2 linked regions of the Sus scrofa genome follow. Each later gene encodes a partner of the first gene's protein in a complex. Links are inferred from orthologs where the notes say so. Each region holds a gene or a part of one and is shown on either strand. Other genes may lie near its edges.

Evidence for each region.
Region 2: TRRAP (region 1) and ING3 share a complex: the UniProt entries of both Homo sapiens proteins name them as parts of the SWR1-like complex. The link is inferred for Sus scrofa from reciprocal best matches to the Homo sapiens genes TRRAP and ING3.

What each region holds. Positions count from the first base shown.
Region 1 is NC_010445.4:5,968,351-5,973,621, reverse strand, and holds part of TRRAP (transformation/transcription domain-associated protein), read right to left. Parts: intron 3,248-5,271; coding exon 3,194-3,247; intron 3,065-3,193; coding exon 3,044-3,064; intron 1,411-3,043; coding exon 1,291-1,410; intron 1,049-1,290; coding exon 929-1,048; intron 598-928; coding exon 433-597; intron 338-432; coding exon 156-337; intron 1-155. UniProt on the Homo sapiens protein: Adapter protein, which is found in various multiprotein chromatin complexes with histone acetyltransferase activity (HAT), which gives a specific tag for epigenetic transcription activation.
Region 2 is NC_010460.4:25,955,035-25,960,305, reverse strand, and holds part of ING3 (inhibitor of growth protein 3), read left to right. Parts: intron 1-1,444; coding exon 1,445-1,541; intron 1,542-3,329; coding exon 3,330-3,401; intron 3,402-4,244; coding exon 4,245-4,364; intron 4,365-4,602; coding exon 4,603-4,760; intron 4,761-5,271. UniProt on the Homo sapiens protein: Component of the NuA4 histone acetyltransferase (HAT) complex which is involved in transcriptional activation of select genes principally by acetylation of nucleosomal histones H4 and H2A.

The sequences.
Region 1 (5,271 bases):
ACCTGTCTTTACAGCAACTGGCGGCCACAGCCCTCTCTCCGCAGCACGTCTGCCCACACATACCCGGCGAGCCCAGCAACGCGCGGCGGGGAGGGGCCCGGGCTGCGCTGACTGGGCAGCAGGGCTCTCGGGGCGGAGCACGCGGAGGCGCCCACCTGCAGTAGTTCAGCAGACAGTAAGCCAGCAGCTTGGGCTCCTTCCAGTTGGTGGCAGCCATGTTCTCCTTCCGGTGTCGTTCCTGAAAGGTTTCACTGACCCACACGCGCCTCAGCTGGCTCACCAGAGAGTGCTGATTGGCCAGCCAGGAGTCGTCGTTTTTAACTATGATGCTGATGATCTGCCAAAGAGGAGACAGGGGGGATGCCGACAGGGCTCTGGCTGGCCTCCCCGGAACGCTCGGGACGCCGGGCGTCCAGAGGACAGGAGTGCTACCTTGATGGCCTGAAACTGCAGGTCCAGGCGCAGGGTGCTGGTGCTGGGCGAGCCGGGGCGCACGGCCGCCTGGGCGCCGCCCGGCAGCAGGAGCGTGATGAACCGGTTCGGGTTGGCCGCCAGCACGTCTCGAAGAGGTCTGGCGTCTTTGTGTTTTAAAAAACTCTAAAAACCAAGCAAACCCAACAGGTGTTTTAAGCGAATCAAAACTCACAAAATGTTTGGATGATAGGAACTCTAAGGGGGCTTAAAAAGAAAGGAAAATCATGTAAGCACCCTCTTCAAAAAAGGCTTTTCGACAGCTACCACGCATCACGATTGTCATTAATCCTGGCAGCTCCTTCCTTCGTTACCCCACCAAATGCCTAGACAGAGGGGTGAGCTTTTCCCATGGGCAACAGTGTTGCTAATACACACACAGGAGAGAAACAAAAGCAGGCCACTGAGCAGGGAGACAGAAACTCGGGTAGAGCTCCGGCAGGGGCCCCGCTCTCACCATGAACATCCTGCTCCACTGGGGGTCGTTCAGCGTGGCTTCCATCATGAACAGCTCCACCGTCTGCGAGGGGTGGCGGGTCAGGAACTTGATCAGAGGCTCTCGGAATGGACTGCCAGCCTACAGGACACGGGGTGAAGGCTGCATTTTTTTGAGGTTGGAGGCTTTTCCGGCCTCGCGACCTCACAGGGCAGCCGTGTGCCTTTCCCTGCCTTGTCCTGGGAGTGCAGGCACCACAAGCAAATATTAACACCTGACATCTTTACGCTCCTGGTCAATCATCTAAAACACGACAAGGCGAGGACACCGCAAGCAACGACAGACGGAGGAAAAACGAGCGTCAACCCGCGTTCGACCGCTACCTCGATCAACATAGCACGTTCCGTTTTCATCACAACCTCCAACAAAGGCTTGACCAGAGTCTGCGGTGCAGCTGGGATCAGGTGGAAGAGGTTTATGATTGCCGAGCAAATTTTCATTTCCTAAGGAAGAGAAGCCAGAAATTACGCCATAGGCCAACTGATTTTGCTAGTTAGAGATACCAGCATTGCTACAGACCCTACTGTGCTCTAGCTACATTCGCAAGGCTAGCCCACAGAAGCAGAGGTAACATGTAAAAGCCACAACGTACCCACCTCAGATCACGGCTGTGGCCTAAGGAAACTAGGGGCCCTTGGCCTCCAGACTGCACCTGTCAACTGTGGCCGGGAGGAGCTGCCCGTGCACCTGAGGGATGCCGTGTCTGCTTTCAGGCACACGGACGAGGGGCGGAGTCACCTCCAGGGCTGCCGCCGAGAGCCCCCTCGCCCCCTCGCCCCGCGGGGCCGTGTCAGAAGTCCCTCAGGGGGCCATGACATCATGGAGTCTTCCCGAAGCACTAGGTTCTGAGGGCACAGACTTCTCTTGCCCTCAAACCTTAGCACAGAGAAAGTCCTCAACAAGTACTGAAGTAATTTACCCTGGAAATTAATTATCCATGTAAATAAATGACCAACTGTGTGTGGCACTAGAGATTTGTCAACCAGGCCCGAAAACACAGCTGACAAACTGCTTTACGGAATGATACGAAAAACGGGAAACACCAAGAATTTTGCACTTCTTCATGTGCTAGCAGCTGGGTAGTCCATCGGGGTCCCCCCAGCCTTCTCGGTCTCAGTCCCCACGGTGCTGTGGCTGCTACTCAGGCCACGGGGAAGGGAAGACGCCCTGAGGTCCCAGCTGGGTGGCTGTGTGACAGGACACCCATTACTCTGGACGCGGTAAAACGGGGATGATAAACACCAGCCGTGATGGACCACGGCACCTGGCAGCACCCGAGACGCTTCTCCAGATGCCCCTTTAAGCCAAGAGGCAAGCAGTGAGATGGGTAAGAAACGAGAAAAGCCAGCTCGGTGTCACCCCGTGCCTCCTCCAGAGCCCTCGCCTGTGGGGTTCAAGTTTTCAGCCCAAGGGCTACCCTGCAATGAGAGTGACATTCCAACGACGGTGCTCTCGTCTTAAGGGCTTTTGTTCTCAAAGCACCGTCAGGAAATCACTTCGTGTGCCTTCCCCTCCCCACCGAAGGCAGGAATGACAGCGGTCATCACCCCCGTTTCACAGAGGAGGGGCAGCCAGAGCCGGGCAGTCGGCAGGCACGGCGGGCGCTATGCCCCCCTCGGCGGCGGGACGGGCCTGAGACGCCCGGGGGCCTGGGTGGGCGAGGGGCCCGTAGGTTTCCAGTGTGCGGCAGTTGGTCAGAGCGTGACGGGAAATGGAACGCCTCCCAGCCCCTGGCAGGTGGCGTGATTTCTTGGTGGCATTTCCTCTCGAGAGCTTGTCAGACGCCTGAGTTCACACAAACATTCTGAGAGCAAACTCCGCCTGCATCTTGTAAATATTGAGAGAGTGTGATGCGAGCGTGGAGGACCCCAACGAACTGAGAATCTGGCTTAAACACGTCCTCACAGGAAACATGCGTGGACAGGTCACGGCCATGTGCTACTCCAACCGCCACAGACGGACGACACGGCTCACTGCACTCAGAGGCACGACACACGCTGTCCACCACAGAACCACAAGTCACAGCACAGCCAAGTGCGACAACAACCCCGCCTGCGCCTCCACTGGGATTCTCACCTCTACCCCTTCCGCGGCAGGCTGAACCAAAACAAAAATCACAGCATGAAAAAAGGCAACGAAAAGGTCAAAGGAAAAGCAAAGAAAAGGAAATATAAACTGTTCTTCACAGTGCAAGTCATAAGCTGACTGTTAATAGGTTGTTCTCACCTCAAACTGACAGAATGGAGACAGGGAACACCTCCCGCACTCTGAAATGCTCTCCTGAAGATGGGGAGGAAAATCAGCTTTTTCTATTTACGTTATTGACACAGAACGTCCCCAGTACTCATACACAGGAAGGATTAGTGGGGTAAACAAGACAGGAAAGACAGTTATCAGAAAGCACACAGTAATTCACAAATGCTCAGCAGCAAAAAAAAAAATACACCTTCCACCCTTCAGATGTCAAAACAGCCCTTCTGACGGTGTCACTTGGAGTGGACTCTTGCCTAAATCCAATGTAGAGAACAGGAGGTTCAGAATTCTCATCTGGGGGAGAAACTTTAAGACCTTATTGTAGGCAAACACATTCTTTAAAATACTGTTTTGTTTAAAGTGAGTACTTCAAGATTTGAGGTCAAGTGCTAAGACCTTAGGGAAAAACCTCTTCCCAGCTAAAGCTGGAAGCGTAGCAGGGGGTCTGATCCCCCTCGATGAAGCATGTTTGAGGCCCACACCCCCAGAACAGCCCACAGGCCGACATTATCTGGTGAAATGAAGCTGTGTGTGTGTGTGTGTGTGTGTGTGTGTGTGTGTGTGTGTGTGTGTGTGTGTGTGTGACGGGTGGTCGTGAGTTTTCCCCTCTAAGTTCTACATGGAACCTTCCTAAACAGGATTGAATGCAAAGCTCTGATCGGCAGGGGTACTCGCTATTACGGGGAGCTTTTATTTATTTTATTCAACTTTAATATGTCATCACAACTGGGCAATGGTACTTGGGAACCCAAGCAAATAAAAACAAACTATTTTCCAAGACCCACTCCCAGCCTTGGGGCATCTACTAAAAGCCATCAGAGCTCAAGGGCAGAAAGGCGGTGTGGCCACACTGCCTCGGCCTCCCTCAGCAGCGGGACACTTCCAGCTCGTGGGGACGTGCTCGGAGGTGGATCAAGGGGCTTCAATAGGAGCTCAAGGACTTCTTGGTACCCACGGTCCCAACCCCTGTGCAAGTGCCCCCATCCCAAGTAAGTTGGTGTGAAGTTTATGGGATCTTTTTGATCTAAGCGAAGTCATTCATCTGCCCACTAGGGTTTTACTGTTTATTCTAGAACTGGCTGTATGTTTCAGAGAATTAACATCTAATTGTAAAACAATTTAGGGCAAAAATACCTAAAAGATGAGAAATGGGGAAGAAAAGCAGAGGTACGTGCATCTACTCCCAAGAGCGGAGGCTTTTACAATACACTCTGCTCTCCCCCATGAAAATCTCCTGCTTTTTTCCCTATATACACAAATACCAAACCATCAGAAAGGTCATGGGCAGTTTAACACTCCTAAAGAAAGCTTCAAGTCCTGGTTTAGGTTTTGCTTGTTGGCTGATTAGGAGCAGCAGGAAACAAGACTTACATCAACAAAACACCTTGACACAGAATGGTCAAAACAAAGTATAAAAAAGCCAAAAGAAATAAATAAAACACAAGTTGGGATGGAACACAGCAGCCAACAAACAGGCACAGGAAGACACAAAGCCCTGTTATCTACGCCTCGAAGCACTCGGGATCCCCTCGTCGGGACACTGGCGTGGAGTCTCACTGGGCGTGATGGGAACTTGTGGAAAACAAAACCCCACTGAGAGGACAATCGTCACCTTGGACATTTTCAAAGAACATTAACAAAGAAGAGTGGGCTCTCAACAGCAAGAACCGTTCACTTGCAGGAGACGAAGTTTTTAGTGCCAACATCAGATACTTAAAAATATTCAGCCAACGTGGTTTTCCCTCAAAGCCATAAAAATGTGCTTTCAAAGTACTGGCCCTTTTGGCAAACAGCTTGGGTGGGAGATTCGGACCCAGAAAATACACAGGCTCGTTTTTATGTGGTGCTTGCCTACATTCTCCTTAATGTTTTCTTCAGTCCTAAAACCGCCAGCTGGTGTTTATGAGGCGGTGGTGACGGAAAACAATGGAGAACAGCAGCTGAGGCCACACCCCGTGCCAAGAACAGCCGAGAAAGCACACTAAAGAAAACCTAACACAAGTGAAATGCACGAATACGTCAAGCTCCCCAGAACGCTCCTCAACAAAAAC
Region 2 (5,271 bases), on another chromosome or scaffold:
TACCTGCAGCTTCTTTGAATAGGAGCACGTATCTTTCATATGTGACCCTAGGATTTTAAATATTGTAATTACAACTTCCACCAAGCTCTGAAAAACAACTTGCGTGTGAGGATGGAGGGAAAATTGGGCTTTGAATTATTGAAAATCACCGATACCCCAGTGATTGTTGTCAATATACAAAATGTAAATAAAATAATATTCTCACTTTTTTTCCATTTGAATTATATTGCTTTGAGTTTAAAAAAAAAAAAAAAAAAAAAAAAAGGCTCCTGCATGCAGAAGTTCAGAGGGCAATCTTAGGTATAAATAGTGAAGCACAATTTTTTAAGTCTCATTTCTGTAATGCATTAGCTATTGAATTGGGCATGCTGCTTAACTCCTCTGAGCCTTAGTTTCTTCGCTTAGGAAATAGAGGTAGTAATAACCTATCTTAAAAGATTAGAGCAAGGACTAGAAAACAGGCCATCTAATGCGCCAAGCACATTACAAATTATCTTTTGCTACTCTTCTTCCCTACTCCCTTATTTTAAATACACATTATTTAATTGAAAGTTTAAATTTTTTGCCCTCTGATGTGTCCTAGCCATTTCGATATTTGTAAGAAAGGTACTCTTAATTATAACAGTGATTAAGTGGGAAACTACTATTTGAAAAAAGATGTTGTCAATACTATGACATGAATTTTTCAAGACTGTATTTTTTGGTTTTATTTCAAAATAGTAAATTTGAAAAAGCATTGAATAAAATTAATATTAAGCTTTAAAAATACATTAAGACTTGTTGCTAGTTTGAGGTGTCATAAAATTTTCTGAAATCAATTCAAAGATCTCTAGGTTAGTGAGAAAACAATTTTGCCACCTTAACGAAGGGCAGTAGTATTACAATAAAACCATTTTGACCAAGCTCTTTGTGGAAAGGAGTTTGCTTACTAAAAACCCCTTTTGTCTCAACCCTTTACATAAATGTTTACAAGCATAATGGTTCACTTTCCTGCCTTAGAGAAACGTATGTATGGAATATAGGAGCCTCTTTGTTTGTAGACTGAGGATCTTTTCATTCCTTATTTTAAATAACAGTTACTATGGTCTGGCAGTGTGGATAGCCTTGTTATAAGTAGGAGATTAGGCTGAAAGTAACCCCAGGGTATACTGTGAAAAGTTACTAACCCCCTCATCTCTCGGATCAGTTACATCTTACGTCTTTCAGACATTTTTTAACAAATTGCAATTCTGGTTTCTTAAAATTTATTCAAGGAGACGTGGGAGATATTTATCCTAGCACCCTCATTTTGTAGATTAAAAACCTGCAGTATAGGTTAATTGAGTTGCTCAGGGATGCAAAAGCACATTCACTAAAAGAAATAGAAATTTAGATTTCCTCATTAAACTGACACTTTAATAGTGTCCCAAATTGTGGTGGTTATCTTTGATCTTCTTTGAAACAGGTAGATCGACACTTGAGAAAGCTGGATCAGGAACTGGCTAAGTTTAAAATGGAGCTGGAAGCTGATAATGCTGGAATTACAGAAATATTAGAGAGGCGTAAGTAAAATTTACAGTTTTCCATCACCGTTGGACAGTACATGTGCACGTCGTTGAGGAGACTCACGTCCCACAGAGACTTTTCCATCTGCTCTTTGGTGAACAGTGGCACCTGGGTGGTATAGCTTGGTCCCCAGCAGTCGGACTGTTTGGGTCATGGATACTTGGAGAGATGATGCAGTATATCAACCACTCACTTTTCCTGAAAATAAAGCCTTAGGTCATTCCATTTGTTAATACGCGTATATGCTAGTTAGAAGAGTGGTAAGAACAAAGATTTAAAGAAATATAACCGTCTAGAAGCAGGGTAGCCATCTGTCGTTAGATGTTGTGACTTTGCCCTGCCTGTTTATGCACCTAAGTATTGAGGAAGGTTGTTATTTTTTCTTAAGAACTGCCTTAAAAAGCTTTTCCTCCACTGTGTTACTCAGATTTTAAAGAGTTCTTCAACACTTCCTCCTTTTCTCAAAAAAGTCTTTTCTAAACTTTCTCTTATCAGTAAGAAGCCATTTTAATATTTCATTGCAAGCCTTGTCTTGATCTCCCGCTATAATTTACCTTTATCACTTCTTGGGTTTAACTCAGGAGACTTCCCTAAAATGGAGACATGAGCTCTGTTTCTTTAACTAATTTAGCATCACTTCCGACCTAAATGGATAATGTCCATCAAATCAGATAGTGTGGTGGCAAGCCCAGTGTAGGCACTCACTAAATGTTAGTTGAATCAAATCAGCATTATGGCTGATTTCTACTAGAATTTAAAGGGTTCGAATATCTCTTTTCTTGGTGCGTTTCAATAGCAAGAACATGTACCTATTTCTACACACAGGTGAAAGGTTTCTTTACGGTGCTAGGTTATATATCCCTGTTTATGTATTCACTAGAAGTCAGCTAGGGAAGCAACCGGATATGAATGTACCCACAGTTGCATTTTTGTATTCAAAAATAAGCCCATCACTTTAGATGACCATCTAATTTATTGTGATGTTTTTATTCCAGGGGAACCCTTACCAAGAATAATAGCTATTTTGAGACAAAATAAAATATTTTATTTTTCTGAAATGCCAATAATAATTGTGAGTAACAGTAATCCATGGCTATTCAGTACTGCAGGAAGGTTAATGAAGCATCCTCTGTAAGGACACAGACATATGAAACTAAATCAAATCAAGTTAAAAAATGGCTCCACCCTGCGCCCTGCCATGATTTCATCTCAAGGGATCTAGATAAACCCAGAAAATTTCTTCAAAAGTATTTTAAAGCTTGGCGGTAAAGATTTTATGCATCATTTTTCATGAGCAAAATCCCTTCTTTTAGAAAGTCTTTGCTATCGTATGTCATTTTAATGATCAGAGAATTTTCTTTCATACAGTGATGTCCCATTGCCTAATACTTTAGGATCTCCTATTAAAAGGTCTTCAATAACACTATGTTGAGTTTTTCAGTTCTTATCAGTAATGGAATCATGATACTCATTCATCCACTTACATGGTCCCAAATGTCATGAATTCCCTAATTAGACATTAGCGTGCCTTGACCTATTTTGTACTTAAGGTGAGCACTGAAAAATGGATTACTTACTGTTTAGAAAGAGGATGAGGTTGGCTCAGGGTGAAATTGGCGGTGGTGACCCTCTAATGTGTTTGGCTAAAATAATACAGACACAGGCATCAGAGCTTGCCAGACATCTCCTGGTTAAGGGTACCCAGTGCCTGTAGTTGATTGACACATAAAGTTCTCTGCTGCGATCTCATGGCCCTGTATCTCTGTGCCTCCCTGTTTTTTTAGGATCTCTGGAATTAGATACGCCTTCACAGCCCGTGAACAATCACCATGCTCATTCACATACGCCAGTGGAAAGTAAGTTTGATTTAGGGCAGCTAAAATTATTTTAAAGACAGTTGAAAATTCATTGTATTACCTATATGTTCTCTTTCATTACCTCTACACGACTGATTGAGAAACAAATATCCTCCCCTTTTATTTTGTGAGATATGTTTTTTCATGCAATTACTGGTGGATTTATCTTCTTCATTTGGGAAGAGCAGATGTGATTTGGGAACAGGTAGCCTGTTTTCCCTGGGATTCACAGAGGGCGATGTGTGGTACTAATAGCAGCATATACTCACTGCATATCGATACCTGCTTCTCTCCAGGGAGCATTATAACTGAGCAGAACAGTAAACTCCACAATTATGGGCTCTTTATCTTTTTCATCCTTGCTTCTCTAGTGCTTACCTTACTGTCTGGCATATAGTAAATTCTCAAATAGTTTGGTGAGTTAGTGAGTGAATGAATGGTCTGTCAGATGCTAGCTGGCTAGATGACTGTATCGGTGCATTTTTTTGCTATGAAAGAAAGGTTGATGGAAGACTATTTTAAATTGTAGAAAATGTTTTGAAAACAAAATTCCCCACATGTTATATGTTAAACCATGTGCATCACGGGTTATCTTCAGTACATTGCTACAAAAAAGTTTTTTTAGTGTCTACTCCAAAAAAGTTTATTGTCTACGCAGTCTGCTCTTAGGAACACGTGTGAGACAGGATTCTGTTTGTCTTGTCTTCTAGGAAAACATAATGTTCTGTATTCCATGAGGAACTCAGGTCATTACTATATTGGCTTATGACCAGATGAAAGTATTATGCCTTTTCCATTGTTCTCTAAAATTTAAAAACACATAAATTCTTTATTTATATTCAGAAAGGAAATATAATCCAACTTCTCACCATACAACAACAGATCATATACCTGAAAAGAAGTTTAAATCAGAAGCTCTTTTATCTACCCTAACATCAGATGCTTCTAAGGAAAATACACTAGGTAAGTTTACTGTCTTAAATACAGTTGCTTTTTTTTTTCATTCGTGCCAAAATAAAGGGAAATGATTAACTATATGATTAACTATATAGATTCCTTACCTGGTTAAAATCTACCATAGGAAAAAAGACGAAAAAGGAAAAAGCTGACATGAAGTTTTTAAATTTAATGATTAAATCTGTGCTAGGGCTCACTAACATTTTGTTCTAAGCATTTTTATTTCTTCTTTAATTCTGTACAGGTTGTCGAAATAATAATTCTGCAGCCTCTTCCAACAACGCTTACAATGTGAATTCCTCCCAACCTCTGGCATCCTATAATATTGGCTCATTATCTACAGGAACTGGTGCAGGGGCAATTACCATGGCAGCAGCTCAAGCGGTTCAAGCTACAGCTCAGGTAAAAAGGAACAGGTTTGGAAACAGAATATAAAATTTTATCTGAATCCTCTCTTAATAGAAGCAACTAGATGTGAACAAAGAGTTTTCTTGCGTTGTATAGTTTTATTTTCAAATCATAGTTTTTATGATAGCTGACATTTAATGAAATGAATATGCAGAAATTACTTGATTGATAAAAGTTAAAAAATATTTTCATACAACCTCATGCAGATTCCGTCCCACAATAATTGCTCATGATGCTTATATTCTTGAGTGTAAGCCACAGCATCTGCTGGGACAGTACCTTATTCTTGCTTCCAGTAAGGGCTTTCTCTAGAGCCTCAGAACTTAGGTTGCCTTGAGTTTGTTCGCTTCTGTACCAGTTATCTGTATTCCAAATTAAGTTACCCATCCTGTAGTTACTTCCTAACTGGATAAAAACTGATCTTAAATCTTTATGTAAAATAGCTTAAATGACGATGATGAAGATAATGAATGAAGGAGTTCCCATTGTGGCTTAGTAGTAATGA